Linked DNA regions of Arabidopsis thaliana. The protein of the gene in region 1 interacts with the protein of each later gene in a pairwise test. Each region holds a gene or a part of one and is shown in the gene's direction. Other genes may lie near its edges.

Region 1 (8,975 bases):
TCTCTGCTACTTCTAAACCAACTTTGTTTTCCATTTGACAGGAACGTGAGAATCCAACATTGACGGAATGGGACCGATTTGCTCAGAGAGAGTATGTGAGGTTGTCAATGGAGGAAGATGTGGAGGAAGTCTCGAATGGGAGTGCAGATGTTTGGGATGAACCACTCGAATCTCCATTTTAGTGACTCGTAAGAGGTACTTTGTTCAACACTGGTCAGCATCATGTTCCTTATGCATGTATGAAATAGCAAAATTGATGTGCTCAATGTTACAAGTTTGTATCTTTTGGTATATTAAACGTATTAAAAGCCGTTTTCGTTGCTTTTTTTACTAGTTTCTTGGGAAGAAGAGGGAGAAGTCAGATCTTCTTGGGTGGTAAGAGCCTCGGAAACAATTTTCAGACAGACAACCACGAAAGCCAGTCCATTCCACGGTTCCACCTAGAGATTGGCGACCAAGAGACTTATCCGATGCGTAAGCTTGTGTTAGTTTCATGAAATATTTGTCTTGCTTAGGTTTCTCAGGTTGGACCCTCTTTCAATCTTATGTATATTATTATATACGCCGCTTTATAGTGTTTTGTGGAACCAACAACAACGGTTTTATTTAAAATCGAAAGAACTATGTACAAAGACACTTTTTTTTGTGGGAAGAAATTTACAAACCTTGAAACTTGTTTTACATGATCATTGTTTTTGCTTTTTCCTCATTAGCAAATTTGTGCCTATGATATCAACTACAATTCTCGTATAAACTATAGAATATCAAATCAAATTATATACTATATATCAGTTTTTGATTGGTTTGAGCCGACATTGGTTATTTGTTTGTATAAGAATCATTAAAACTTTGTTTGTCAATATGATATTTTGGAAGATGTGTTAAAAAGTCGTGCATTTTGTTTTAACAAGCATGAACTCACTTTCTATGGCGGTTAAAAATAAGGGAATTTGACACGTTTAGACATTTTTAAAGAATTTTATTCTTTTTGAGGCACTTGTCACGGATGAAGCACTTTTCCAACTTTTTCATTAAACTTTTGACCAATTTATCTCTGAAAATTAAGAAATTATAATAAAAAAAAAAAGTTTCATCTTTCCACGTTCCTTTTTTTTTCTTCTTCTTCGTCGCTTCTTCTTTTCACTCTCTTTCTCTCTCTTCTCATTATTACTTTTTTTCTTTCCTTGCAAAATCAAACATTTGAGAGTTTGTCAAGATCGTGTAGCTTCTGTATTTTTCTTTACGGAGAAGCCTCTCTAAAGAAAACGGAGAATAAATAGTAAGGGTGTCGTTGCGACCACTTTTACATGAGATGTTGGTATCGTCGGCATCACTAGACTAAACGGCGATCACTTTTATAGTCGTTGCGACTCTTTTCATGAGAATGATGATGTTAGTCTCCAGTGGCGGATCTAGAACCATAATTAACCTGGGGCACAACATAGCTAACATATAAATTTTAAAAATAAAATACAATATAAACATTTTTTAAAAGACATGTAAATGGAAAAAGAAAAAATTGAAGTGTCCTTGTATTAGCATAATTCTTTCAAAGAGTTATAGAAAAAGATAAATTTGGAAAAATAAGTTAAATACTGAAAACATTTATTACTTGAAAATAGTAAAAATAATGAGTAATAACCAACTGATTAGAAAAAAAATCACTATAACATGGGGCACAACAAACGAATTCTTTCATCTCCAATACAAATTGCACATCAAACTTCAAAATTATCAAATCTTGCATGGGGCACGTGCCCCAGTACTCATACACTTGCGTCCGCCCCTGTTAGTCTCTACATACATTACACGCAAGTAAGTTAAAAAAAAATCAGTCGCCGATCGCTGACGTATCGATTACAAAAAGAACAGGGTCATTCCTTTTCAAAAGCCATAGAATTTGATAGCAAAAAACTTAGAGATAAGTTCAAGTAAACTGAGATAAAAGAGTAAAGAAGTACGTGTCCAGAAATCGCTGTCCACAGAGGTTTGTTCATTTAACTCTGTTAAGATGATCTTCTCGATTGGATTTTAAGGTTTTAAAATACAAGTCCAAGTTTGATTTTATATACAGAACATCTCAAGATATAACATAAATGATCACAAATTCAAGGGAAAAACGTGTCCAGAAGTCGTTGTCCACATAGGTATGTCCATTTAACTCTGTTAAGATGATTTTCTCGATTGGATTTTGAGATAAAAAGGTAAAGAAGAACGTGTCCAGAAATCGCTGTCCACAGAGGTCTGTTCATTTAGCTCTGTTAAGGTGATCTTCTCGATTGGATTTTGAGATAAAAAAGTAAAGAATAACGTGTCCAGAAATCGTTATCCACAGAGATCTGTTCATTTAACTCTGTTAAGATGATCTTCTCGATTTTGCTCCAAATTTTTAACATCTATATCTTAAACACAAACGTAGAAATCAGTCTAACATCTGTGAATGAAAATTAGTCTCAGATCTAAGCTAAAATCTCCATCAATTTCACAGAACCAGAACTAGCAACAAGGTTCTTCAATAAGTGAATCAACCATCAAAAAACTTATAAACCGTTTATGATGAACACATAAGATAACCAGATTTTCTGAATATATACAACTCAAATATAATCATGAATCAAATTCACAGAACATGGACTAAGCAACGAGTTCCATCAATTAGTGATTCGACAATTGCTATCAAATAATTCGAAGTCCACTGCGAGGCTTTAATCTCCAATTTAAGAGAATAATCTCGAATATGAAATTGGAGAAGAAAGACAAAGAATTAAAGAGCAAGTAATCAGATTAATTTTGCAACAAATAACAAAAACATAAAACAAAAACCAAACCGCAAATCCAATTCAATTATTCAACGAGTCATGTAACTAAATCAGCCAGATCGGGCAGATTCTCAAATTGATGGTTTGAAAAAATTCTCCTTCAAGTCAGATCAAAGCAGATGTGGAAAATTTAAAAAGCTGAATTTCAATCTCTCTTTCTCATAAAAGCGGATGATTTGTTGAAGATGGAAGAAGGAAAAAGGAAGAAATCTATTTTTTGGCTTGATTTTTGTTTATTTCTCGATAAAGTAAAAGAAAAAGAGAGAATAAATAAGAGAAGGAGAGAGATAAAACGATATGTGATTAGACGATAAATGAGTCAAATCATCTATTCAAAATGCTTTATCTTTAAAAAGTGTCTAACCATAAAAATGTTTTTTAAAAAATATCTTACAGTGTAATATTCTCTAAAAACAACTACCATCGAGTTAAAATAACGTCATTAAATTACCTTAACTAAATTCAAGTAATAATAGTCAAGTTATAATACATTAATGATCTTGAAATAATTGATGCAAGTTTGACAACTACAGTTTGATGACACGCGACAAAACTTCCCACGCGCTCCAAAAGTTAGAAAATCTTATCCATTTTGATTTTAACCTTATCCAATTTACCAAAATCAGCTCTTTTCTTTGGTAAGTCTAAAAATTAAAACTCACGTGCCACATATGCGCGTGGTATTTTAAAAAAGTAATAAAAGTCAATTAATTACAATTTGGGATAAATTACCAAAAGTTCTCAAAGGTTCTCAATTCGACACAAAAAGCCCTAATCTCTGCTTCTGTAAAGTTCAACATTTGGCGGAGTCAAAGAAACAGAGTGATTCTCTGATCCGATTCCGGCGAAAGAGGACGAAACAAACGGAACTTGTTCATCATCTTCTCCAGAAATGACGTCGTTTCAGGTGATGCGTTCTTCAAATTCGAGAAACTCGGATCTATCTCGTCGCATCTCTTCTGCTTCTACTTCTTCTTCGTCTATAAGACCTCAACAACAGTTCCGGCGAGATCTAACAAGTGTCGGTTACGGCGGAAGAAACGACGGATTATACAGTTCAAATTCGATGACGGTCGAAGGGATTTTACACGATACTTTCGCATCAGATCCACCAGCACCAACGGAATCTTCACTCTTAGATGCGTCGATAAATCTGATGGATGCTTCTCCAGCACCAATGGAGATAACAACAACGACGGCTTCTGATGTTGTGGATCACGGCGGAGGAACGGAGACGACGCGTGGTGGGAAGAGTGTTGATGAGATTTGGAGAGAGATGGTATCAGGAGAAGGTAAAGGGATGAAGGAAGAGACGTCGGAAGAGATAATGACGTTAGAGGATTTTCTAGCGAAAGCTGCGGTGGAAGACGAAACAGCGGTGACGGCGTCGGCGGAGGATTTGGATGTGAAGATTCCGGTGACGAATTACGGATTCGATCATTCTGCACCGCCGCATAATCCGTTTCAGATGATTGATAAAGTAGAAGGATCAATAGTTGCGTTTGGGAATGGTTTAGATGTTTACGGAGGAGGAGCTAGAGGGAAGAGAGCGAGAGTGATGGTTGAGCCATTGGATAAAGCAGCTGCACAGAGACAGAGAAGGATGATTAAGAATCGTGAATCTGCAGCTAGGTCTAGAGAGAGGAAACAAGCTTATCAAGTTGAGTTAGAAGCTTTGGCTGCGAAGCTTGAGGAAGAGAATGAGTTGCTTTCTAAGGAGATTGAAGATAAGAGGAAAGAGAGATACCAGAAGTTGATGGAGTTTGTGATTCCTGTTGTTGAGAAACCGAAGCAGCAGCCACCACGGTTTTTACGCAGGATTCGGTCTTTGGAATGGTGATAAGAGGTATAGACTTTTGAGGATTTTAGGGTCTTAATGTTACTTACTTTGTGTATGTGTGTGTGAGAGTTGATTCATAATCTGCAGTAGAGTGTAATGATTATGGTTAATAACTTATATATTATATTAGATTGCATATGTTATTGGTTTTGCTGAGATTGATCTTATTTAGGCTGATCATAGTGAAGAGGGTACCAATGGAAACGAGATTCTTCATTTTGTTCTGAAAGATCTGGATTTTGGTCCTTATCCATGTCTGTGGAGGTAAAGCGAACAGAAGTGCAGTGATGACATCGTTTCCTGCTATGTACTTTGCTTCTGGACCATACTCAGAACCTTTGGTGACAGATTGGGTTGACGGCACCAATAGGCCAACCTCTTGTTCATTATTGGTATTAACTACCATCCCTGCTGTCACTTTAGCTTCCTCAACCCCAGGCATCAATGCATTTAACAGAACTATCTCGACAATAGAAGTCTTTCGATGAGCTTCCAGATAAGATAAGAGCTCCTGAAGTTAAGAACTTTCTGACGTGCTCCAACAGTTACAGTTCCATGCACTTGTGTCACTGCATCTCGCTGTGACCAGAGATTAGATAATCAAGTCAAGTGAAGATATTGATGGCCACAATGAACATTTAAGTAGGAGAATGAGATTTGAAAATCTCTCTGAATCATACATAGAATAAAGAGATTTTCTAAGAATCAAAACCATATCTCTGTCAGTATTTATAGCCACTGATCGGTGAAAAAGTGACCAGATCCAGTCTGCAATAGGATCTGTTAGAATCCGGATTCAAAATTTGACTGTCTAATACGAATGATCCTTAGCAAAACAGTGTACACAGTTGGGACTAAGGGATACTGTTGTTTTGAATGTAAGCCTTTGGTACTTATTTGTGGATAGTGGATTCATAATCTGCATTTGAGTGTGATGAAATATGATTCTAGGATTCTTAACTTATTGTGATTAACAATTTATAGAATGCAAGTTACATATATCTCTCATTGCAAATAGAGTTTGAATCGTACAGAGAATAAAGAGACTTTCTAACAATTAAGTGTTGAGAACGTGGGATTCAAATGGGGAAGAGAGAGGATTTGGGACAATGAACTAATAGGCAGGAGCAGCGAGATCATCCTCTTCCTTGTTCTCTTGGCATCGTTTTAGCAGCTGAAGTTGCCGTCGAAGATGCAATACCTGCATTTACACCAAATTCACCACGTTACTCATCTGCTTCACAGATTCATTTCACCAAGTACTCATTTAGATTCGGCATTTGATTTAGCTATATCTAAGGATGAACTCGAAAATAGTCATTGTCAATCTCAACTTAGATTAAGTTATTTGTTTCTTTTCCAAAAGACTTATATATCTCAAGTACAAAGATCCCATTTTCCACTAGAGAGAGAACCGTGACTCTTGATGATTACCGATAAATAGAATTGGTAAAAGCGTTACCTCTTCTTGAAGCAAAGTTGGGAGGGAAGCCATGGAAATGAGCTGCTTCATTTCATGCATAAGAGCTTGGTCTTTGATCCCTGACCATGTCTGTGGAGGTAAAGCCAATAGAAGTGCAGTGAACACATCGTTTCCTGCTGGATAAGTTGCTTCAGGACCACATTCACACTCAGTTTGCGTCGATGGCACTAACAGATCAACCTTTTGTTCATTCCCATCACGCACCACAACTCCAGTCACCACCGTGCCTTCAGAGTCATCAGGACCTTAATAGGAAACAAAAAATTAACAGTTGATCTAACACCAAAACTTTTAACTATGATAAGAAATTTGAAGAATCGACATGGCGACATACCTTTGATGCATTTCACGCAAGTTTCCCGACAACAAAACTCTTTTGATGGGCTTCCGGATAAGATTTCAGCTCCTTGGCAACAAGCCTTTGCAGCAGCATAAGTCAGACTGTCTTCATAACCCACTGTGGATAAGAACTTATTGATGTGTTTGAACAGTTCAGTTTCGTGCACTTCCTTCAGCACCAATTGCTGCGGTAGATTAAAGTTATGATTAAAATCATGTGTCACATAAACCAACAGAACAGTTTCCATGCAGCTTTAGGTTTCTATGAAAAATTATCCTGAAGATACCTTTAGTTTCAGCCTAGACTTCTCCTCTGCGCTGAGATTTTGGTTTGAGTCCTCTGTAATTCGGATCTCAGCCACCCATCTGATGAATTGGTTGAAATTTGATGGAAGTGACTTGAACACAACTGATATGATTTTCTCCACAGAATCTACATGCTGTGAACTTACAAGACGAGGAACATCTTCCTTCAAATACTTGGCTATTTCGATCCAGCTTTCATCCTTGCAGCTCTGGTATAGATATATAAAAGCAAAATTATCACCAATCCACAAGTTTTGTCTTACCAAAATGCTCATAAGGATCTCAAGTTCATTCAATACATGTGGAAGAGATTGTGAGTGAGAAAATTGCATTAATAGAATAGCAAAATTGAAGAAAAAGATATTAGCAAACTTAAAGAGAACCTATATTGCATCGAACATACCAGAGTATAGAGCAATCCGGGTTCTCTGTGTGGTCTAGATATGAGCATGAACCTGAGAACAACACAGAAAAAAATCAGACCATATTATATAGAAATATTACATCCATGATACAGTAAGAACCTAAGCGAAAGATAAGAAAAGATTATGTACCCTCTACGTTTCCCTGTTGACTGATCAATACTGTCCATGGCTTCCCAAAGAAGTTTAAGAGGAACCCAGTGAGGGGGATACTTGAAACGAGCAACATCAAGAATCAAAGCCATATCTCTCTCAGCATTATAGCCACCAATAGGTGAAAAGTGACCAGTCCCAGTCTGCAATTATAGCCACCAGACGTTTTAAAACTTGAAAATATGACTGAGCCTTAGCAAAACAGTGTGTACAAAGTTATGCTTTACCTGCTTAAATACACCTCGGTGATATGTTGAGATCATATGACAATTCTCAGAACTCGTGCATTTGACGACAAATTTGCGGAAATCATCAATGGTGCTCTGACTTGTACGGAAAGCCTCAACTTTTGCTCCTGAACAATGAGCCAAACAGACAACTTTTCCAAATGAAATGCCTTTTTCCTTCACTACTTCCAGAGGTTCGCAGCAATCCAACATTGATTCATCAAACCACCTCCAAGGCCCTATTGGAAGAGAGGAAAACTTTTTATAAAAAACCATCATTTATTTAGTGTGGACATAATTTGCTTCAATCTTGCATACCTTTCCATTTACGTCCAGGATCGATAGAAAGAGCATTCAACACCACTGAGAGACTAGCCAAACCACAATACGCAGGTTCGGATTGTGTCTGAAAATACGAAATCAACCTGAAAAATCCTTCCATAGTTCCTTTCTGAAGCGCTTCATTGAAGATTAGCTGCCACAAATGATCAAAAATACTTTTTAGACATCAACACAGCTAACATTAACAAGTACATCTCCAGTAAATATAACCACCAAGCGTACTACTTCCAGAAACACTATCACTGAAATTACTTGGAGATATATTCAGATCTCTGTGATCACTGTCACTGACCTTAGAAGGTTCACAAGTGATGATCACTGTCAACGACTACATTATGTGTTTTCACAATTCAAATCCAAATCCAGTATCTAATTTTACAAAACGCGTTTGATTCAAGTTCTGAACGAATTGTAAGATCTCATGAGTATTGAAGACAAAAACAAAAACGAAATCGAGATTGGAGTCTGGAGATCGTGATTCATCAGAACCACAGAAAAATTCGCGTAACCAAAAACCTAGTTTATAATCGCAATCCATGAAATCGAAACTTGATCCGTACGTACCTTGCCTTCGGCGGAAGAAAAGTCAATGGCCGGAGGAGAAGGAAGAGATCGCCGATATAAACTCGCCATAGCCATTTTTCACTGCTTGTTTTGGTATCTATATATACTGAGAAATTACAGAGGAACACAAAAGTGTTTGCTGTGGAAGATTCGTTAGTGGATTCGAAAATAACTTTCGGTGTGTGAGATTCGAAATTGGGAAGATGATGATTTGCGTATTTAATATACAGACTCACTCAATTATTTGAACTCTCTCAGGTCAATGCTCTCTCTTGGTCAACTCTAATGTGAAAAGCCGTTAGTGTTGACCTCGTCAAAATCATCCGGTTTGGGTTGCTTCGGTTTGGTTGGTATTACTTGTACACTACATTTAATGTGAATTAATACAATTTCTGAAAATGAGACCATTATTACGAAATTTTAAGGGGATTATTTTAATTTCGGTTATTGAAATTTGGTTTTTGTTGTAGAATTTTATGA
Region 2 (8,254 bases), on another chromosome or scaffold:
TGTTTTGTGGGAAATCAGAACATGTTATTCCCTGCTACGAGGTGCATTGTACACTTCCCTAGTCCTCTTTCTTGCATTTTAGTTTAATACACACCTTTTTTTTTCTAAGTCATACTTATTTTTGCTAATTTATTAAAGTCATTTGCTAATGTATTTTAACAAGATACTGAAACCATACGGGAAAGAAACAGTGTAGATAACACTGTATTGAAGAATTATCAGAAGGAGTAATCTCTATCTACAAAGATCTCATTTTCCATAACCACTAAAGAGAAACACTTTTAAAAGTCGAAAATTTCAATTCTTGTTACTTTTCTAACTACTGATGAGGCACTAATAATTACAACCTAATTTTAAAAGATTATTGAATCTAAATAAAATTGCAGTTTCTGAAAATTTAAAAGGAAGTTAGATAACTTCAATTCCATGCCCTTCATTTCCAATTAATTATTGTGATACTACTTTAAAAAAAAAAAAAAAATTATAAACAGGAAAATTAACCACGTGAAAAATGGAGATTTCTCATTGAGAACGACAGATTTGACAACATAGACACCGCATTAGCAATTTACCTGGGTGAAGAATCACCGTGAGATACACGCGCCATCTGATTTGGGCCCATTAATCTCTTAATGGGCCATATGAACCAATTCCATGGTGCGTAGTGAACACTCGTGGGCTCCATCGAAGATCCAATTCCTTTCTCTTTCCTTATTGGATATACAGTCACTTCTTCTCAGATGTCGGTAGAAATGTCTCGCGTCACATTTTCCACAAGTCCTTTTTAACTTTCATTGATTTTTTAAAAAATTTGTCCAGCTAAATCTACAAAGAGCTTTATTTAATTACATTTTTTGTAGTTTCATTATCTTTCACTTGATTTGGGCTCGTAGCTCACAAACATTGGGCCCAATAAAGCCTAAGTCTCTATAGGTTTCATTTGTCACCATAGTATGAAACTTTTGTATGAACTTTTATGTAACTATTTCTACAGCACTGCTTGGATCATTATGTTTTTGTTATTGGAGTTTGCTTGACTCTTAGTGTTTGCAAACACCGTTGGATTTCACCAAATGCCAAAAAGGTAACAAAACTATTTATGATTCTAACACTCAAGGCTTGAGTCTCAAGCCAATGATGGCATGGTGCAATTAATATTTTATTATATGATTATTCATATGTTTTTGATACTTTGTAGTTTGTAGATGCCAAGAAGCAGATTCAAGCATTTGCTACACAGACACTTACCTCTCGCTTCTCTTCAAACCGTATACCATACTGCTGAATCCTGATGTTGACATTGACTCTAAACGTGTTTTGTGTTGCAAATTTTGACAAAGAAAAGAGATTAATAATGAGAAAGTGGGACTCTTACCATATGTCTTCGAATTTCCTGCCAAAAGCGTCGGTTGTGTTGAGCTTTGACTTTTATTACCTTAATCATCGCCGGTCATTTTTGATTTTGGCTCCTTAATATTATTCATATGTTTCCATTATTGTACATGTATATAATTTACTTTCTAGCTTATTTTTTCTTCACGCAGCTTTGACATTGTTGCTTTTCGGAGATCATATATTCCGACCAATCAAAATCTACCACATAGTGTCCGAGTTTAGGCAACATGCATTACATTTACTTCCAGAATTAAAATTTCATTTTTTTTACGGTTTATGGTAGACTTTTACTAAAGTTTTCATATTGTCAACTGTAAGACTTCTTAAAAATCCTTTTATGTTTCTCTTTTCTTAGAGCATTTTCTAACTTATTTTACACACATCCTTCTCATGGCATAAAAATAACTATTTTGTTTTCTCAACTACTTTTCCAGTTTACATATTTATTTCTTGCAAGATAAAATAGTTGTGTCAAAAATGTTAAATACAATTAAATGATTTGACCTTTAGTTAGAAACTTATTATTATATTCTATGCATAAATTTAAAGGCTGAAAATGCATTCCTTTCATTTTTTATACACCAAAATGTATACAACGTAAGAATTGGAAGTTCGAACTCAATATTGGTTTATACGTTTCAGGATTCTGAATTGACTGAGTCATTACTTTCTAACCATTAATCAAAACAAAAATATTGATGTGGAGTTCTTTTGAGTTTGAAGTTTGATTATGTGATGTTTCTTTAGAGGGAATATCAAATATATCAGATGCTTTATCAAAGACTATTTGATACATTGAACATCAACCAGAAAATGGATCTCCAAATTATTAAACCATACATTTAATTTTATGTATACTTCTCTATAGGTGGGTTGACGGAAAAATGATATATAGATGCTAAAACATGGACGTCCTATGGTCTCATCATGCCTTTCGAGTTTTGTACCACATGCTTTGTTTTATTAAAGTTTAAAGTTCGAACTCTCTTCAGAGGAATCTCCTCTGCGTCATCATCTATACGTCATCCTTTTAACGCCATGCACACAACTAAATATTTATAGATACTGCTTACTCTCCTCGATATATTACGAGTTTGTTATCTATTATCATGCATTTTACGATCAAAGTTGTGAATAAAAATGAACGTGTTAATAAAACATAAAAATAAAGAGAATCTAGAAAAAAGATTCATTTGCTGAAGGCGATGTAAACACGACCTCATGACCTAAATACGGATCGGTCAATAAGGGATATAAATACAAGATGATTTAATATTCATTAGCCATCTTCCTTTTTAGAGAGTCTTATCTATTGCCCTATAATATTTGATTTAAACTGTTTACTAAGATTTTGCGATTGACCTTATAGAGATTTTTTGTTGGAGGCTTTATGTGTTATGTCGCATCAAATCGGAATTAGACATAACCAGATGACAAAAAAGAGAGCCTTTGCGTATGAATATGACAGAATTTTGAGCGTGTAAGTTAAAAAGACGAGATTGTGGGTTCTACTTTTGGTAGTTCTGCTGATTTTGATAGATCGCAAACGTCTTTTTATGTTGATTTTTCATCTTTTTGTTGATTATTTATCTCTTTCTTTTTGTGCTTTCCTTTTTAAAACTATAGATCTACTTGTCCGGTGAGACGATCGTATATATAGGATAGTACACGTTTTGGCATCAAACTTGATTTCCTATTCTCGCCAAGCAGTTTTAATTTCTTGTCTTATCAAACAGGCTTTAAGATTGTTCTTGAGTAATATGCAATTTAGCAGTAGAAAAAAACAGTGAAATATTCCTTCAACTCATAAATCAATATAATTGACACAAAAGACCGGTCTTATTTCATGTCAATAGAAAATGGTATTTTCTCTCGTGGTTTGTTACTTTTCTGTTCTTATAAGGCTAACCTCTAGTGGGGATGCAAAGTTCTAGATTTAGACTTGTTCGTTAGATGACTAGGTGGTTAGAATTTAGATTCGCGTCGTTGTTTACTGTGTTCGGGATAATCGTTTTTAGTTGGGATTTGTCTTCGCGGGTTCATCTATCCTTTGCTCTACTCTGTTTGTGGTTAAAGATTCTCTAGTCCGCGATCTTCGAGCTCTTATTTCCGCGAGTTTTGCTCTCCTCCGACTTTCATGTTGATCTCATGAGCTTATCTTCTTGATTTTAGTATATTTTCTTGTGGTCCCATGTATCGGGCTTTTGTTTTCGGGGATTTCTTTATTTTCTGCCGGCTATGTTGTACGAAAACGCATTCCAAAACTGTATTTCACCCATGTATTATATAATGAAAATCTTTCAGTTAAAAAAAAAAAAAAAAAAAAAAAAAACTAGCTTATTTGGGTTGTCGTCTATATCACATATCTAATCGATGTAACAATTCACTGAATCGGGTGTTACAAATAACATTTGTTTTCTTCACTAAAAGTATAAGATACTGGTACAACGCGAAATCTAACCTATATTCGAATCAAATGACACGTCATCACTTGGGTGTCTATTTGTCCACAGTTGAAAGTTATAAGAAGCAGACAAGTGTCTCATAAAGACATCGAGATCTGATTCGGTTCTCAGGTACATACAGTTAATCGGGAGTGTTGCTTTCCCCTAGAACTATGGAGGCTACTATTTAAGTGTCGTTGTGTAACAAAAATCCTGTGTTTACTTGCATTACTTAAACTCCTTTACTTTAATAGTTTTATATATGTTTTCGACCTCCCTTTTTCGACGGAGTGGATCGCTATGACATGTAGGCATCTGATTGTATTTGCTAATCTGTTTTTGTTAGTATGTTAAATTTTTAACCCAATATATGTTTATAGTGCTTATATATTCTTACTTTAGTTACATATGAATATATGATCATTGATGAATTAAACAATATAATGTAATAATTAAATTTGATTTCCCTGATCGAATTATAATTTATATGTTTTGTAATACGAATCAATTAAAATATTTTCTTGTTACACATTTTGATAAAATGTCGTAGAACGTTACTTAAAAGTAATGATGCATTAACAAAATGTACAACATATATTATAAAAGTTATCATCAATATTATAGGCATTCGACTTTCAGAATGTGTATCAATAATCGAAGTAGTAATGGAACGATTATTGAAAGTATACTACGGTCTCTCTTTACTTCATCGTGGATTCTCATTAAAAACAAAAGTACTTTCTCTACCGGCAACTATTGAAAGTATATTATTGTTTTTAATAACTTTGATAGTGTTTCTTAATTATTAATCCCAACGTACGATAAAATTTTGTTTGATAAAACTCACAAAAGTTTAGTATATTTCTGTAAATATATGCATAGAAGTCATAGTGATTGACAGAGGAAAGACGTCTCTTTGACTACTCTTCAATCGAAAACAAAATGTGCTAAAATTTCAAAAGCAAAGTCCCTAAACTCGCCTAACTCCATTTCTCATTTGACTTTGCCTTAAATGTCAATAGTCCTATGTTATTTAGCTACATTCAAAATTGGGAATTAAGAATTATTTTAGACTCCATATACTTAGAAACGAATCCGTATTGGAAACTAATTTCCATTTAGTAATAGTATTTAAGTATTATTATGCTTACCGAGTAGCATGTAGTAGTTTCTTAATGTTAGCTAATTTCAAAGCAAACGACGAATATTAAATCGTGATTGCACACAACAAGAAGTGATTAATAAATCATTAATTTCGCCCATAGTAATCACTAACCAGAGTAATTTTGAACAAGACTAAGGATGTACAATAACTTACGTCTGCGATACTGTGTGGTAATAAATATAGAAACTTTATGAAATAGAACTCTCTTACCAAAGAAAGAAAAAGCAAGAGTGCGTGTTACTATACATCTGAACAAGTCAAAGGGTCAAACCTTAGTATTTTAAAATTACACAAACAATTGACCAAATGGAGAGCTAATTATGTTTAGCATAATTTACTATATAGTTGCAAAATTCCACTTTAGAAACAGAATAAAAAAATAAAAATTGAACATAACACTTATGCCGTGTTCCAGTCACTCTTCAACATTCTACTCATTTTCAAATATCCTTTTTATAAAATACTACTTTTAAAATTATTTGATTCTTATGTTCCTTCACTATATATATATAAATATCGCACATTGCTTAATCACTTCAAATCTAATCCACAAAACCATTCACACCATCTCATCTTCTTTCTCTCTATCTCTTTTCCTTTCCTCATTTAAAGTTTCTTTATAAGAAATGGAAGATTACGAGCGAATAAACTCAAACTCTCCAACACATGAAGAAGATTCTGATGTACGGAAAGGTCCATGGACCGAGGAAGAAGATGCAATCCTAGTCAACTTCGTCTCTATCCATGGCGATGCTCGTTGGAACCACATCGCTCGTTCCTCTGGTATCATCAAAACATCAATCTCTAAATATACATATACACAAAGGCTTTATATATAGATAAACTTATATATATTTTACTCATATATGTGCAGGGCTAAAGCGAACTGGTAAGAGTTGTAGATTAAGATGGCTTAATTACTTACGTCCAGATGTTAGAAGAGGCAACATCACTCTCGAAGAACAATTTATGATCCTCAAACTCCATTCTCTTTGGGGCAATAGGTACACACTATATATCTCAAATGTTAATATTTTGCTATTCTATATGTTACTAGTTAAGTATGTTATTAATATATGTCTTTTTTTTCAATTGAATATATAAGGTGGTCGAAGATTGCGCAATATCTACCGGGAAGAACAGATAATGAAATAAAGAATTATTGGAGAACTCGAGTCCAAAAGCAAGCCAAACACCTAAGATGCGATGTTAACAGTAATCTTTTCAAGGAGACTATGAGAAATGTTTGGATGCCGAGATTAGTGGAACGAATCAACGCCCAATCATTACCCACCACGTGTGAACAAGTGGAGTCAATGATCACCGACCCAAGTCAACCAGTTAACGAACCGAGTCCGGTCGAGCCGGGTTTCGTTCAATTCAGCCAGAATCATCATCAGCAATTCGTACCGGCTACGGAATTGTCAGCAACGTCTTCGAATTCTCCGGCTGAGACGTTTTCGGACGTTCGAGGTGGGGTGGTGAACGGGTCAGGTTATGATCCGTCGGGTCAAACGGGTTTCGGAGAGTTCAACGATTGGGGCTGTGTTGGTGGGGACAACATGTGGACTGACGAGGAGAGTTTTTGGTTCTTGCAGGACCAGTTCTGCCCCGATACGACATCGTATTCGTATAATTAAGGAAATATACGATTACTATACGTAACGAGGAATTCAATTGCGTCACGTTTGGTGTAATATTCATTCGTGCGTGATGCCAATTTTAGATACGGCCTTGGTATACGAATCTTGACTTAATTATTATCTTTTCTTTTCCTCTCTTGTTTTAATCCCCTGATTAAATTAAGATTTGATCATCAGACGAGGATATTTGTGATTCACTGATTTGTGATATTGATATATGTGAATTATTTGATATAACGTTTTAAAAACCAACAAAAAAAAAAAATCATTCCAAGGAAAAGTTCTTAATTTTGATACTCGAAAAGAGCGTAGACTGACTCGAATCAGTTCATATTTTCTTTGGTTCGTTTTATTTACGACAAAATTCACTAACAAAAATTAAAAAACGACAAAACGAAAATATGACTAAATTTATTTTTTTGACAGTTAACCACTGATTATTGGTTCAAATTGTCACAACACATGATTTATCTTGATAGAAATTTAGTAGTCCAGAATGCTGCATGGTTGATCCTAAGAAAAACAAATCATGCAAGGACCAAGGACTTACATTACTTAATTATACTTAAACGCTTTATAAAATTCACATCAAGTGATTCCTGACGATGATCCAGTAAAACCCTTCATCCATATCGTTGCTTCCACACGTAGTTTCGATAATAAACTCGTGATTATCGCCAAGATGCGATGTATCAACCACTGAAATTCTCTTCCTTGTCACGTTTTCGTCTCCGACGATATTTCTGTAAAGTTTCGCAGCAGACGAAGAAGAATCCGATGTCTCCGGCTCGTCTTTAGGCGTAAGACGGCAACTCATCAGTGCTCTAAGGAGCATCACTATCGACGCCATGTGTCTCTGACGTCGTAGGATGCTTTAGTTGGCTTTATCTCGTATCTAATCACTTTCAACATTTAAGACACACACAAAACATATGTATATATATTGTGTGCATGCGTTTGTGTGTGAGCTTGTGTCAGTGTGTGTAATAGTCTTAACAACCATTGTCGAGTGTTGAAAGTTGGAACAAGACAGCACAAGGAGGAAGCCATCATGCATCGAGGGGATATCTAGTTTTGGTAAGTTTTAATAGTGAATATACTAAATGGCCCTTGACCGATTGCCAACATAGAGTCTACATCAGTAGCGAATCAAAGGTATTATGGTCTTTACTCATGGTTTTGACGTGGAAGAGACAACAAATAGAATAGTTCATCTTCAGCAAGAAACAATGAGAGGAGAAGAGAGAATTTTGAAAAAGGAGCTTTAAGAAAAAAGTCTGATCTAATCCTTTTATCGGTCAACGATTGTTGGACAACCTTCTAGATTCCTCTTCTTTTTTGGGTAACTTGAGCATTTTGGTCAGTGAACCTGTAAACAAATATTTAGTGTTTCTTTTGAAAATTATGTTTTTGTTTATATAATAATCCAATAGTATAAGTTTCTTTCTAGTTTCTACAGCCTAAAATTTGATTAATTTATAATCAAATTAACCACTTTTAAAGTTTTGATTTTTTTGGATGGTAACATTAGAAACGATGACATATTAACGAAACTTGTAGCTACACATAAACTGCTGACCGATCCCAAAGGTTGAAAGATTCTTTGG
Region 3 (7,414 bases), on another chromosome or scaffold:
GTCCTTGTAAAGACTGTCGTAATGTAGTACGATAGTCTGACTGTGTTGTAGTTGATCATCTTGTTAGAAGAGGGATGGATGAGGCATACAAGTTGCATAGTGATTGGTATCATCATGGAGATGAGAAGTCAGTGGATAAAGTTCAAAGCAAACTAAATCAGTGGAATGAGGAAGTTTTTGAGTTATATAAAGCTGCTGAATTTTTTGATGAAGAGTTGGCTTGTAGAGGTGACTTAGGTGAGAATCTGGTGGGTGACTTAAGTGAGATTGCAGAGTGTGAAGACCAACGAGAAGATGAGTTCCTTGCAAAGATATTGGACGCTGAAACCCCACTATACCCAAACTGTTCAAACCACAGCAAGTTATCGGCTATTGTGACTTTGTTTAGGATTAAGACACATAATGGCTAGTCGAATAAGAGCTTCAACGAGCTGCTTCATACATTGCCAAGCATGTTGCCAGATGATAATGTCCTTCACACATCATTGTATGATGTCAAGAATTTTTTAAAGAGCTTTCATATGGGATATGAAAAGATCCACGCATGTGTTAATGATTGTTGCCTCTTTAGAAAGAAGTTTAAGAAGCTTGAAAAATGTCCCAAATGTAATGCTTCACGGTGGAAGACTAATCAGCACATTGGTGAGGTAAAAAAAGGTGTCCCACAGAAAGTATTGAGATATTTTCCAATTATACAAAGGCTGAAGAGATTGTTTAGATCAGAGGAAATGGCCAAGGACTTACGGTGGCATTTCACTAACAAGAGCACGGATGGAAAACTTCGTCATCCGGTTGATTTAGTTACATGGGATAAGATGAATGATAAGTATCCTTCATTTGCAGCTGAAGAAAGGAACATTAGGCTGGGGTTGTCTACAGATGGATTTAACCCATTTAACATGAAGAATAGTAATTATAGTTGCTGGCATGTGCTATTGGTAAACTACAATTTGCCTCCTCACCTTTGTATGAAAAAGGAGAATATAATGTTGACATTATTGATTCCTGGTCCACAACAACCAGGTAATAATATCGATGTCTACTTAGAACCTGTTATTAAGGATTTGAATTATCTGTGGAAAAATGGAGAGCTAACATATGATGCTTTTAGTAAAAGTACTTTTACTGTAAAGGCAATGCTTCTATGGACTATTAGTGATTTTCCTGCGTATGGAAACCTTGCTGGATGTAAAGTTAAGGGAAAAATGGGCTCTCTTTTGTGTGGAAAAAATACAGATAGTATGTGGTTGAAGTTTAGCAGGAAGCATGTCTATATGTGTCATAGAAAAGGTTTGGTTCCAACACACAGATATAGGGAAAAGAAGACTTGGTTTGATGGAAAAGTTGAACATAGGAGAAAGACAAGAATTTTAACTGGTCATGAAGTTTATCAAAATCTGAAAAACTTCAAGAATGATTTTGGAAATGTGAAAAAATCTGGGATGAAGAGAAAGAGAACTGTCTATAAAGAACCAGTCTATGATAGTGATGATGTATCCAGTGAATCCGAGGAAGATGAGGAAGTAGAAGTAGATGAGGATGAGTTATCTAGATGGAAGAAAAGATCAATCTTCTTTACTTTGCCTTATTGGGAGGTATGATTACTTGTTTTCAGATTTAAATAGCTTTTATATGTTTAAGTATGATACATCAATTACTTCTAAAATATATGTATGTCTATATTGTAGGATCTACTAGTAAGGCATAATTTGGATGTAATGCATACAGAAAAGAACGTGGCTCACAGTATTGTATCCACATTGTTGCATTGTGGAAAATCTAAGGATGGTCTTAATGCACGTAAGGATCTGCAACATCTTGGTCTACGACACGCTTTGCATCCTACCACACAAGGAAAGAGAACATATGCACTTAGCTCCTGTATTGCTTTATTTTGTGCTTGAGACTTTTCTTATGTATTTTGGATCTAAACTTATGTTTAATCAATGGTCAATGTATGAGATTTTATAAAGCAGGTTATGTGTTATGTGTACTATAATCACATCTCAGAAAATGCTATAAGAATACAGGTAATAGAATATTTAACATATGACTAATGCTATGTTTTAATCATCTATCGTAGCTTATAAATTGATATAAGAACATAACATAGCACATAATTTGACTAATTATTTTCCAATTGAAAAAAGGCAAACCACGATAAAACAACATTTCGCAACAGCTATATTAGAGATATATAACATAGCACGAAAAATCAAATATTATATAATTTTTTTAAGAAAATTAAACGTGATAATACAACTGTTCTTTATAGCTATGTTATTAAACTATAACATAGCATACTGAACTCACGCTACTGTATGTGAGGTACCTATAATAACAATGCCCTAAAATAGCGTTCATGAAAAAGTTATTAAAGACATATTATAGCATTTTTCTCGTGATAAGAATGTCCATTGTAGTGTAAAAGACATAAAAAATAACATAATACACATAAAGACACTAAGACTTCTAAAATTCAAAAGACTCACTTGGACACTAAATGCAACAAAACTCACAACGAAAAATACTATGACAAAAATCATATCTTTTATATATTCAAATTCATTATTATATTTTCCAAAATATTGAAACAAACGAGATCCTATGTAGAATGGGATAACGCAACAAACATCAAATTACGTTTTTTAACCATAATTAATATTCATAAATACTTCTTAATCATTAATACAAATATTTTTATTAATATCATAATTAAACATAATATATCATGTTTTCGGTTAATCCTCTAAATTTGCTATGATTAGTTTCTATGAATTGATGAATTTCTCTGCGTATCAACATGTCTCACTCTCTAGATATCAACGATTTTAACATTGGATGAATTATTGTCAAATTTATTAATTCGATTGCAAAATTACATTGAAATATGATATAATAAATTAAATATATAAAATTACAAAATAAACTTATTAAATAAAATATATTATAATTATAATTTATGATATAAATTAACAAACTAAAATTTCTACACATATTTCTCCACGATGTAGAGTGTGGGTTCTTATTTAATGATCACTTATAAAGGAAAACGAATGAGGGACAAGTCAGTACTTAATTACTTTAGTTAGTTATATTTTAAACAATAGACATGTCGAATCTTTTAAGTTAAATGCATATAATGGATCGAACTTGGCGCTCAAACGTATCCAATCTTTTAATTAAAGTTTAGCCGCATCACTCTCTCTCTCTCTCTATAAGTTCATTCTAGGGAAGGGAAGCATCCAAACTTGGTTGCGACAAGACAAATGCTAAGGATAGATTTAAACTAAAAGATATGAAAATTTTGTATTAAACATTGTATTTTTTTTTACTGCGTATTAAACATTGTATAAATATTTTTTTTTAATATAATTTACCATAAATTAAAATAAAAAAGGGTTTACGTGTATAAATCTAGGTTACAAAAATAAACAACTCAAGTTAACTATTATTGGGTTTAAATTATATAAAAAAACCAAAATTTTAAAAACCTTCTCGCAGTTTCTGCTCTCACTTCCAATGAACAAGTTATATATAAAACACTAACAATATTTTTGTTATGACTAAACTCTTTCCATTTCTTTGTCCATGTTCCACCACTATAAATTACGAATTATAGCATCGCATTTTTTCTTCTTATTCTATGCTCTTATAATCCATAGGACCCACTTCTACATGATTCTCCTACAACCCCATTATAAAACCCTTGGTCCACTTCCTCCTCTTACTTCAAAACTAACTTCCCAATTCTTCACACAAAATAAAAACACAGAAACTCTTACATACTCATATAAACCAAACTAAAACCATGATTCCGGCAGAAATCAACGGATATTTCCAATATCTATCACCGGAATACAACGTAATAAACATGCCTTCATCTCCAACCTCTTCCTTAAACTACCTAAACGATTTGATCATCAACAACAACAACTATTCCTCATCATCCAACAGTCAAGATCTCATGATAAGCAACAACTCAACTTCCGACGAAGATCATCATCAAAGCATCATGGTACTCGACGAGAGGAAACAGAGAAGGATGCTTTCGAACAGAGAATCTGCAAGGAGGTCAAGGATGAGGAAACAGAGACATCTTGATGAACTCTGGTCTCAGGTAATAAGGCTTCGCAACGAGAACAACTGTCTTATCGATAAGCTGAACCGCGTATCGGAGACTCAAAATTGTGTATTGAAGGAGAACTCTAAACTCAAAGAAGAAGCTTCTGATCTCCGACAGCTTGTTTGTGAACTGAAATCTAACAAGAACAACAACAATAGTTTTCCAAGAGAGTTTGAAGATAATTAGTATTACTCAAAGTGTCCAACTTTATCAGACAAAACGTAATCTATTAACACAATCAAAAGCAGAAAATTTTGGTTTTTATACCTTGGAGAGTGTTCTGTTCTATACAGTGACTTTGAATCCGTTCTTCAATATATTCATTGACATGGACTTTCCCATGATTCCCAAACCCATAGAAAACCCTACTTCCATTTTATCTATCTTCTGCGATTATAGACTTATAGTGCTTACTGCTTAGTGATAATGGTCTAAAATAATGAGACATTTCTAATCAGGGAGCCATTATCATCAAATACTTACTTGAAAAGGAAGTATTTACAGTTTACTCCCTAAACTTTGATTCTTTTTGCATCTCTAACTGGCAGTTTAAGAACGAACAAGATTTCGCCACGTGATTGAAATTTGGCTAAAACTCCAGTGTCATTTGGAATCTTATTTTACTCCAGTCGGGCACGTTAGAAGTTCTCAATCAAATTTATTTGCGGAGTACTAATCTGAATTTACAAAATATTATTCATTTTATCTGATAGTTTATGAAATGTCAATTTAGTCCATGCTTCTAATCTATTGACAATTTTTTTTCCTTCTTCTATATATATATTTTTTTTTTTTGGTTCTGGGCCGAAATCCGTAATATTAGTTTTGCCTAGAGTCTTTACCAATTAAGCTAACGACACTTAACTCTTTCTTTCTTCTATTCTTGTGCTTCTACAATGGGAAGATCAACGTAAACATATTATTACTAAAGTTTACATACGATAGTAAACATAACTATAATGGGAAGTGCAAGTGTTTTTAATTTTATTTGTAGGTATAAAAATATGCTATATCTCTTTTTTGTGTGTGTGGTTGGCAAATCTTAGGCTCAGCCTTTTTCACATTTGTCTCTTGTTTTATTTCCTCTTCTTTTTTCCTTTGCTTTTGGTCCACTAAAAAACATTAGTCTTGAGTTTGAGGCAAAAAATGGAGAAAAACTGAGAATTTTGAGAACAACGAATCTTGTAATCGTTGAAGAAGCTCAATTACAGTTTCTGTTTCTTCCTAATTATGGCAACAATAGCAGGAGGATCATTTGGAGTCCCAAGCTCTCGTATCTCTATAACAACACCAACTCTCTCTTCCTCTTCTTTGCTTCCACCACTAACATTGGTTTGTAATGTCTTCAATTTTCATGGAGTTTGTATCTCATTTGAATTGAATCTTTATGATTCGTCTTCTTGCAGCAATCAGGTACTAGAAAGGACAACCTTTTGCGGTGTGCCTTGCAAGAGTCTTCAACTTCTGCTGGTAAAGATTGATGCATAAAACAGAATGTTTGGCTCAAAAATTCGAGAAGAGTAACTTTCTTGTTCTCTTCCTAGTTGCTACTGAAAAGAAAAACAAAGAAGAAGGAGAAGAGTCAACAGTGGCGGTTCCGGCAAAGAAACCTAAACCCGCAGCTAAAGCGGCTGCAGTGGCGAAACCGCTGAGACAAATGATGGAAGAAGACGTGATTCCTCCTTTACAAGCCATTCTTGAATCTCAAGATGATATCTCTGACATAGATTTATCTTTCCAAGACGATAAGGTTTCTTGCTTCTAACTTCTAATGCTTTGTTGCCATGCTTATGGGGCCATCTCTCTACCCTATATGGCTCCAGTTTTATTGGATGTTCTCAAAATGTCTTCTTGATTAAACTTCTAAGACAATTATCATTATTTGTGTCAGTTGGAAGGTTTTTTCTTAAAGAAAAGTATTCCATATTCCTTTTGGGCCTTTTTCCCTACTGGAAACCTTACAGGTGAAGTATTGAATCTTTTACTTGAGACTCTTGTTACAGAAAATTTCAATGGAACATTATGTCTTTTGGTTTGTTGCTTAAAACAGGAGCAAAAGGATTTTCAATTTCCTCACACGGGTCAGGTCCGAGCACCGTGGAACCATTTCTTGTCGACGAGAGGAAACCAACTGCGAACCACGTTGTGTTTTGGGTCGAGAAGCGTCTTGCTGCACAAGGGATCATCCCCGTTTGGAACCAATGAGGTTTTTGTTCACTTGTAATTATTACATTTGTATACCAAAATTGAAGAAAACTTATAAATCCTTGTCATAAAATTGATTAAGAAAACAAATGACCCTCTTTTATAAACATCTTTCAAAAAAAATTTGCATAAGGCATACAAATAGTTTGAGATAACTATGAGAAACATCATTTGTTTAAGCCAATCTGTTTTCAGTTGAGACAATTCTCTTCCTTGCCTTCTCAGCCTGCAAAATCATAGATTACTTCATAGCATTAATGAATGAACATAAAAGAATTTACAAGTGTAAAAAGCTGAAATGGCTATTTACCTGTTCCTTCCAATTTATGGAAGCTGTGACAATAGCCAGTATAGTGGCTTGCACAGTAGATCCAACCACAACACCGCACCACAGTCCTTTTCCGTTCAACTCACGACTGAAAGCTAAGTAAATTCCAACAGGAGCTCCTACAAGATAATAAGAAACAGTATTGTTCCAAGCTCCAATGTGTTGCCAACCACTTCCCCTAGCAACTCCATTTAGAACTGCTGTGAAGCCGTCGAGGATAAAGGAGAGGCAGAGCAAAGGAGTTAGGTCAGCTACATAGTCCAAAACTTCTTTGCTGTTGCTGAATGCGTATCCTATGATGTTCCTGCAGGTGAATAGAAGTATGCTAAAGAAAGCTGACTCTACTATCCAGAGACAAAGCCCTGCTAATACTGAAACCCTAGCAACTTGAGGATTCCCAGCTCCCAAATTGTTTGATACACGTGTGCTGCAAGAAACCAATCACTAAATGTTTAGGAAAGAATTGTCTATAATAAGATGAAGATGTTCTGAATGATAAAACTGAGATCATATTCATACCTCACAGCCGCGGCGACTCCAGCTGAAATCACATAGTGCAAAGTTTCTATTGTAAGACTGAAAAGAAGGAAACAGGATTCATTAGTTTTTAGTAAAGAGACCACAAAAGATAAAAAGAAGTCCTTCTATGGTACTTACCAAATTGAAAGAACAGAGGTCTCGAGTTTCGGGTTAGGGAGAAGACCTGAGCAGAGTATGAGTATCTCAAATAGCCACCATTCTAGACTATTAAAGAA
Region 4 (7,514 bases), on another chromosome or scaffold:
ATTACAGACAGTGGAAGTATCTATGTGCAGTCAGATGGAGAACATCTTGGATTCCTACCTAGAAAGTTTCAGGTGTTACCCGGTGCCATAGACATAATCAGCTGATCAAAACCGCAGATTTCTTAGGATAAACTTGTCAAGTAAAGTGTAGAATACTTCAACTTTATATTCTTCCTGTAATATGATTCATTGTTTAGCGAATCAGATTTATGCTCGTGTTACTTGTGTAACTCGTTACTATCACTATTTATTGTGTGGTCTCTGTTAACCACAAATAGATACTTTAAAACATTTTAAAGCAAAAAGTCGCATCTCCTAAATCAATCAATCACACAAAATTGAATCCTAAAAATGGTAGCTTCTCTTTCCTTTCATTCCATCGCCACCGTTAATCCAATCTTCTCCGGCGATGGTGGTCGTTCAATCTTCCGGACTAATCGCCGATTCGAAGCAACTGGAGTGAGTTGCCGAGGACAGAATCCTACTGACGAGCCACAGACAAGTAAAGGACCCGAGCCGGATAATGTTCTACTCAAAATCGCTTGGTACGGATCTGAGCTACTCGGAATAGCTGCTTCTGTTTTCCGATCTCCGGAGACTTCTCCGATTGTGACAGGCTTTGAGGTTCCTGTTGATTGTTCTGGTCGAGCCGTTCGTGTAGCTGTCGTGGACTCGATTAAACAAGACTTTAAACGATCCTACTTCGTCACAGGTCAGTGTAAAATCATCCAATCTGAATTCTGTTTCTTTTGTCTAAATCGAAATCTCTGAGTTTTCAGGTAATTTGACGCCGGAGGTTTATGAGGAGAAGTGTGAATTCGCTGATCCGGCTGGATCCTTCAAGGGTCTTGCTCGTTTCAAAAGGAATTGCACTAATTTCGGAAGCCTTATCGAGAAATCCAATATGAAGCTCATGAAATGGGAGAATTTTGAGGTACGGTCAACTACTAAAAGATGTCGGAGTAAAAGTTTCGTTTTTTGTTTCTCACCAGAGCTCCATCATGAGTTTTGCAGGATAAAGGAATTGGACATTGGAAATTTAGCTGTGTCATGTCGTTTCCATGGAAACCCATTCTTTCAGGTATTTATTTTATCAAGGAAACCTTAAAAGTTTTCAGATTTTTGTAGCCTTTTTAGGATAAAGTTTGCAACTTTAATAGCTTCAATGATTAGTAATGAAGACAAAAAGAACAAAACTTTTACTATGTCTTTTTATGGAAATCTGTTTTTACAGCAACTGGTTACACGGAGTATTATTTCGACACAGAATCCGGGAAAATTTGCAGGTAAAAAGATTACTTATGAGCTCATTAATATAAACCCCACTAATCTCTTTTCAACTTTGAAATCTTTTGTGAAGAAGAAGAAGCTGGTTAAACATATTTTGATGAATGTTGGCTTGCAGGCACGTGGAGCATTGGAATGTCCCTAAGATTGCTCTGTTCAAACAACTTCTGAGACCCAGCCGTGGTTTAGTGGGGACACAAAACTAGCGCAGATGAAGAATGATGTCAATTTCAAATTAGATTTTTTTAACCGTAAATATATGAAACTTGCTTCTGAAACTAATATGGGATACTCTGCTCTTAGAGATCTGTAATGAATCTATTCAAGATGACACATATAAACATACTATCACTGTCGCATTAAAACAAAGGTCCATTCTTCTCGGTTGGACAAGCAACAGAGAAACCATGCTTGAACCTCTTCAACCTTGCACCGTCTCAAGTTTTAACCGTACTCTATGAATTTGCATTCTCTTGAAAAAAATGATAATTCTCTAGTGTCTTAAGTACAATTGACAATATATCTCAAGCTTTTGGATACAATTGTCACTTTGAAGGCTCCATGTTCTCAGCTGCTAAAGCTGCTGCAGAAGCAGCCTTGTCAAAACCAAGCTTCTGCAACTCGGTTAAGAACCCATCGAGCTCACTTGCTGTGATCTTGTAAGGACTGTGAGAAGGACCTGGAAACACTTTTTTAGAGACTTCTTCTTTGTATTCCATTAGGGCTTTGTTAATCACTTCTCCGACATTAGCGTACTGCTTGCAAAACTTTGGAGTAACCTGTGAAATATAAGAGCATGAAACAAGAAGCATGTTGATAACGAACGAACGAACAAGAGAATGCGTTTCGAAAACAATAATTGTGTCAGGATTTTACCTTGGCATGATGTGGATGTTGCATCATACCAAGAAGATCATGGTAAACTAGCACCTGCATTTCCAAGAAAACAATTAACAGGTATGAGAAATGCAAATTTGTCTCTTGGCTACACACAAAACCGGAAAGAACGAAACTTTTCAAATAAAACCTGTCCACTGCAGAAAGGTCCAGCCCCAATGCCAATGGTTGGTATCTTGAGGGCAGAAGTTGCAGCAGCAGCTACAGGAGGTGGAACGCATTCCAAAACAACCGAAAAACATCCAGCTTCTTGTAAAGCCATTGCAGTCTCAACAACTTTAACAGCACTAGCTATGTTTCTGCCTTGGGGTCTGAAACCACCAAGAACGCTAATCGCCTGAGGGGTTAGACCCACATGACCAATAACCGCAATTCCTGCTTCAACTATAGCTTTTGCAGCAGTGATCCTAGAAGCTGATCCTCCTTCGAGCTTAATCGCATCCATTCCTCCTTCCTTCAAAACCCTAACCGCAGTATCAACCGCCTGAAGCCAACATTTAAACCCAAAATCAGGTCCCTAATTTGTTTCATTGACACAAAATCTTGTAAAGAATCTACTTTGCATAAGCAAGTACTAAAGCTAAATCTGTGATTACACAGGCAATGACACATTGACACATAATGTATCATTTAAGACTTTTTTTATCAAGAATCCAATCACCTAAACATTTGATCAGGAAATGAATTGAACATTGTAAGTCCCACTGAGTGTTGTGATTAATTCAGGTATTGAAATTGCAATCAAGAATCTAATTACCTACACAAAAATTAAGCAGAAGAACATGCCTTATCAACAAATATGTTTAATTTAGGTATCTAGAAGAAAAAAAGATTCAATTTTATAACATTACCTGACTAGAGCTTGACTCGTAGGTACCAAATGGCAAGTCACCAACTAGGAGAGGTCGTTTAGCGCCTCGAGCAACGGCACGACAATGAACAAGCATCTCGTCTAAGGAGATAGGAAGTGTTGTGTCGTGACCATGAACAACCATGGAAGCTGAGTCACCGACAAGACAAACATCGATACCAGCTGTGTCTAAATGAACGGCGGATGGGTAATCGTAGGCAGTTACGACGGTGATCGGTTCTCCTCTCCGGTGTTTTTGTCTGAGATGCGTTAGCGTCACTCTTTGGTTTGGGTTTTGTGGCTTTGGTCCTCCGTAGACGGTGTTTTCCGGTAGGTTACTCATGAAACGGACAGAGATGGCTTTTGAGAAGCGAGAGCAATTCCTAGTGAGTGAGGACGCCATTGTTGTGAAGATGAAGAAACCCTCTTATCTGTGACTGTGTCTGTGTTTACAAGAACAAGGAATTTTACTTTTAAGAAGATTCAATTCCTAGTGAGTGAGGACGCTGTTTAGATTCTGGCAAGTGGCGATTCAGTTCTGGGTTTCACACACAAATCAAGCATAGCAATGACACTGTTAGGAATTGTGATAGCTTAACTATAAATTCAATATTTTAACGAAATCAACAAGATCCGTTGTAGTCTAGCTGGTCAGGATACTCGGCTCTCACCCGAGAGACCCGGGTTCGAGTCCCGGCAACGGAGATAGTTTTAAAATATCTTTACTATATTAAACCGGATTTTGGTTCAGTCTGGTTATGTTAACCCAGTCTCTGTTTCTCTCTAGGCTCTAGCCTAACCCAGTCTCTGTTTCGATCTTATTGAACTTCTGTTCCAAAGGCGATTCCTTTTTTATTTTTCCGTTTCTGGGTTTAGATAGAGAAATGTAGAGATTGAGATCGCGGTTACTAGTTGGAACTCTCTTGGAGTTGGAGAGCATCCGAGGGTTCTGCACGAGCTCCTTTAAGATCGTAGCTTCGGTTCTTTTTTATGAGATTGCGCATTGTGATACCAAAACCGGATTCTACTGTTTACAGTTTCCAGGAGTTCAAGTAAAGACCAAACCATGTCTCTGTTTTTTAAGTCACACACGTGTGAGATGACGTGAAGGAATTTTTTGTTGTTGTTGGTCTGAAGTAGTTGAATGTAGTTGGCTTCTAAACCTTTTTATATATCTCTTCAATATAAATCACACGAAGAATTCTAACACACAATTCGTTGATTCATCATATCTCCTCTTCATTAATGAATGGCCTCGTCGACTCTTCTCGAGATAAGAAGATGAAAAATCCGCGATTTTCGTTTCGCACAAAGAGTGATGCAGATATTCTCGATGATGGTTATCGATGGAGAAAGTACGGTCAGAAATCCGTCAAGAACAGCTTGTATCCCAGGTAAACTTTTTAACATAAATAATCTGAAATTGTTTTTAAAAAGATTGTTTTTTTGTGTGTTTCTTCTCACTTATGATCATCAAAAGGAGCTATTATAGATGCACACAACACATGTGTAACGTGAAGAAGCAAGTTCAGAGGCTGTCGAAGGAGACGAGCATTGTGGAGACAACTTATGAAGGAATCCATAACCATCCTTGTGAGGAGCTCATGCAAACCCTAACTCCTCTTCTTCATCAATTGCAGTTCCTCTCTAAGTTCACCTAATTATGTTTGTATATATATTAACGTTCTAAGAGCATCTCCAATGGAAGTATCTCAATGAGATACCTAACAAAAGAAAAAAAATTAAAAAAAAAATATGAGAGAAGGGAGAAAAAGTAGGAGAGAAGGAGAGTTAAATTTCTCGGATGATTGGACAGGTGTAATCACACTATTAGTTCAACTATTAAATAATAATTAATGTATCTGTTTTGATTAAAATATTAATTAATATGTTTTTGAGAAACTTTCTTTATTTTTACTGGTGGAGATGGTCTAATGTTCCATGGTTCATATAACGGAGCAAATTAAAGCATTGTAATCATATATGTTTGCATGTTCATAGTTGCAATCTCGTTTTGATTATAAATCAGTTTTAAGCATATAACCAAAATAAAAAAACAAATCAATTGTAATATTCCGGTAAAACGATTACCACGTGATGATTATAGAGAGGCATAGAGCAATATCGTCTGGTAAACTGAATAAAACCGGATTTGGTTTCCATAGATTTTTCTCAAGCCAAATCAGTTTCCTTTCGTTTGAATAAACCTATTGGCTTATCGTGAGTGATTATTGTTTTGTTTATTTACACGATGAACAATGTCAATGAGACATGTCACATGTACGAAGTCAGTTCCGATATATTACATGAATTGCTTTCAAGTTTTGATCAGCATCCTTAAATAGTCACCGAAAATAAGAAGCGAACAAGTCTTGGCGAAGTTGAAGCCACAAAGTGTACTAATAAATATGGATTGCCGAATTAAAAGAAGAAACAAAAAAACTACATTTTCATATTTTTTTTCTTCTTCCATATATAAATCCACTTTTCAACTTAAGCAAATGCAATCAATGGGAAGGTAAGTATGTATACCTCTAAATCTCAAATAATCTTTAAAATTATAAAATATATATGTTTTGACTAATTTTAGGAAGATAAAATAATCTCTTATATTTTCATCTTCTTGGGATTATTTACCAAAAATTAATGTTTAGAAAGTAGTACTACTCAACATGTAGTTGTTAAATATCTTTAAAGTTTAAGTTTTGATAATGTTAAAATCTATTAAAAATAATTGGTCATAATAGTAAAACAACTAATAATTAATTTTTTAGGATATTGCTTAAAAGTTAAAACATATTGCTAATTTAAAAGTCATAATATACAAAATATAATTGTAGTATATTCTATAATAAACATGTTTCATCTTTTTTTCGGACGAGCAAAGAAGTAAGAACGCACGTTATGACCATGATGCTCTAAAAAAAGGATCTTATTCCTTTTCTAATGATGGAAAAATTATTATATTATTCCTTTTCCAACAACCAAAGAAAAATCAAAAATGTCACGCTCCGGCAATTAAGGTATTTATCATCCTTAAAAGAGGTACCAAAATATATAGAACCGACAGCGCCATAAACTTTAGAAAAGAGAGAGAGAGACAAAGAGAGATCTGATCCTTTGAAGAAACAACACCAAAAAAAAAAAAAAAAGAATGGCATCAGCGGATGAAAAGGTGGTGGAAGAGAAGGCTTCGGTGATTTCAAGCTTGTTGGACAAAGCCAAAGGTTTCTTTGCGGAGAAGCTGGCGAATATTCCGACGCCGGAAGCAACCGTGGACGACGTTGATTTCAAAGGCGTGACACGTGATGGAGTAGATTATCACGCCAAGGTCTCCGTCAAGAATCCTTACTCTCAATCCATCCCTATCTGCCAGATCTCTTACATCCTCAAGAGTGCCACAAGGTCATCTTCTCTTTTTTTTCTTCTTGTACCGTCTGATCTACTCTAACACCGTATTGTGCACTTTTTATTACACACATATCATGATAGTATCCGTATTCCGGATCTAGCCTAAGATAAATAGAATTTGTGACACATATTTTGATCATCTAAATTTTGAGAATATGAAAAATATATATGTGATATTTTTCGTTAAGTGTATCCGATCTTTGTACTAATGAATAGAAATGTGTATCAATTAGGTATATCCGATCTAATGTTTGACTATTTTTAATTGATAACAGTATTTAATATATATGTGTATGGATTTCGTTGGTAATTTGTCTGGTCTCATCACCGAAATGGCTAGATCTCATTTTCTCACTAATTGTATTTTTATCGCATTGTGCCGCATTATATATACATACATATACTAATTTCATTATCCATGTGCATTGATGATATCTAGCATCTTATATCAATCCTAATGTATATATTTACACAAGTCTACTGTATACATAATATGACATTACTAATAACACGTGTTATCAAGGAAACAAAGGCACAAAGCTATATAGATGGTCTCAGCTTTTGTATTTTGAGGATTTAAGCTTAGATAACATTTTCATAACAGTACTTTTTATGTAACGTTATGCACACGCCATGTATAGGTGTAACGTACATTCATCATGTGCTGATTAATAATGTTTGTGGCATGCGTAGGACGATCGCGTCAGGCACGATACCGGACCCGGGTTCGTTGGTTGGGAGCGGCACGACGGTTCTGGACGTACCGGTTAAGGTGGCTTATAGCATAGCGGTTAGTCTGATGAAGGATATGTGTACGGACTGGGACATTGACTATCAACTAGACATTGGGCTAACCTTCGACATTCCTGTTGTTGGTGATATCACCATTCCTGTCTCTACTCAGGGAGAGATCAAGCTCCCTTCCCTTCGCGACTTCTTTTAATTACCTTATTTCAAATATAGTTTTCTTAAATCATAATCTAATTTTCAATAATGTACGATCCATAAACATAGACGATCGGAGATTAATACATTTCTGGAATCCTTTTTTTATTTTGTTGATTTCAAC

Evidence for each region.
Region 2: the proteins of AT5G44080 (region 1) and MYB2 interact in a two-hybrid assay, tested with the Arabidopsis thaliana proteins (one large-scale study listed by BioGRID).
Region 3: the proteins of AT5G44080 (region 1) and bZIP48 interact in a two-hybrid assay, tested with the Arabidopsis thaliana proteins (one large-scale study listed by BioGRID).
Region 4: the proteins of AT5G44080 (region 1) and WRKY43 interact in a two-hybrid assay, tested with the Arabidopsis thaliana proteins (one large-scale study listed by BioGRID).

Annotation. Positions count from the first base shown.
Region 1 is NC_003076.8:17,734,471-17,743,445, reverse strand, and holds AT5G44080 (Basic-leucine zipper (bZIP) transcription factor family protein), read left to right. Parts: upstream 1-3,496; 5' UTR 3,497-3,711; coding exon 3,712-4,659; 3' UTR 4,660-5,572; downstream 5,573-8,975. Other genes in the region: AT5G44090 (Calcium-binding EF-hand family protein), read left to right, coding at 42-182; CAD1 (phytochelatin synthase 1 (PCS1)), read right to left, coding at 5,774-5,860, 6,122-6,387, 6,477-6,666, 6,769-6,996, 7,191-7,242, 7,342-7,505, 7,590-7,828, 7,908-8,064 and 1 more.
Region 2 is NC_003071.7:19,370,654-19,378,907, forward strand, and holds MYB2 (myb domain protein 2), read left to right. Parts: upstream 1-5,331; 5' UTR 5,332-5,630; coding exon 5,631-5,787; intron 5,788-5,878; coding exon 5,879-6,008; intron 6,009-6,109; coding exon 6,110-6,644; 3' UTR 6,645-6,890; downstream 6,891-8,254. Other genes in the region: AT2G47200 (uncharacterized protein), read right to left, coding at 7,231-7,497.
Region 3 is NC_003071.7:1,328,108-1,335,521, forward strand, and holds bZIP48 (basic leucine-zipper 48), read left to right. Parts: upstream 1-3,811; coding exon 3,812-4,312; downstream 4,313-7,414. Other genes in the region: AT2G04137 (phosphogluconate dehydrogenase (decarboxylating), NAD-binding domain protein), read right to left, coding at 4,076-4,255, 4,418-4,501; AT2G04039 (DUF2996 family protein), read left to right, coding at 5,357-5,458, 5,533-5,596, 5,671-5,876, 6,018-6,095, 6,180-6,350; DTX1 (MATE efflux family protein), read right to left, coding at 6,507-6,557, 6,642-7,086, 7,179-7,235, 7,317-7,403.
Region 4 is NC_003071.7:18,952,975-18,960,488, forward strand, and holds WRKY43 (WRKY DNA-binding protein 43), read left to right. Parts: upstream 1-4,237; 5' UTR 4,238-4,279; coding exon 4,280-4,428; intron 4,429-4,514; coding exon 4,515-4,695; 3' UTR 4,696-4,951; downstream 4,952-7,514. Other genes in the region: LCBK2 (Diacylglycerol kinase family protein), read left to right, coding at 1-105; AT2G46100 (Nuclear transport factor 2 (NTF2) family protein), read left to right, coding at 352-712, 780-934, 1,015-1,081, 1,235-1,286, 1,406-1,493; KPHMT1 (ketopantoate hydroxymethyltransferase 1), read right to left, coding at 1,833-2,066, 2,164-2,217, 2,315-2,668, 3,036-3,437; AT2G46140 (Late embryogenesis abundant protein), read left to right, coding at 6,189-6,439, 7,139-7,388. UniProt on the Arabidopsis thaliana protein: Transcription factor. Interacts specifically with the W box (5'-(T)TGAC[CT]-3'), a frequently occurring elicitor-responsive cis-acting element.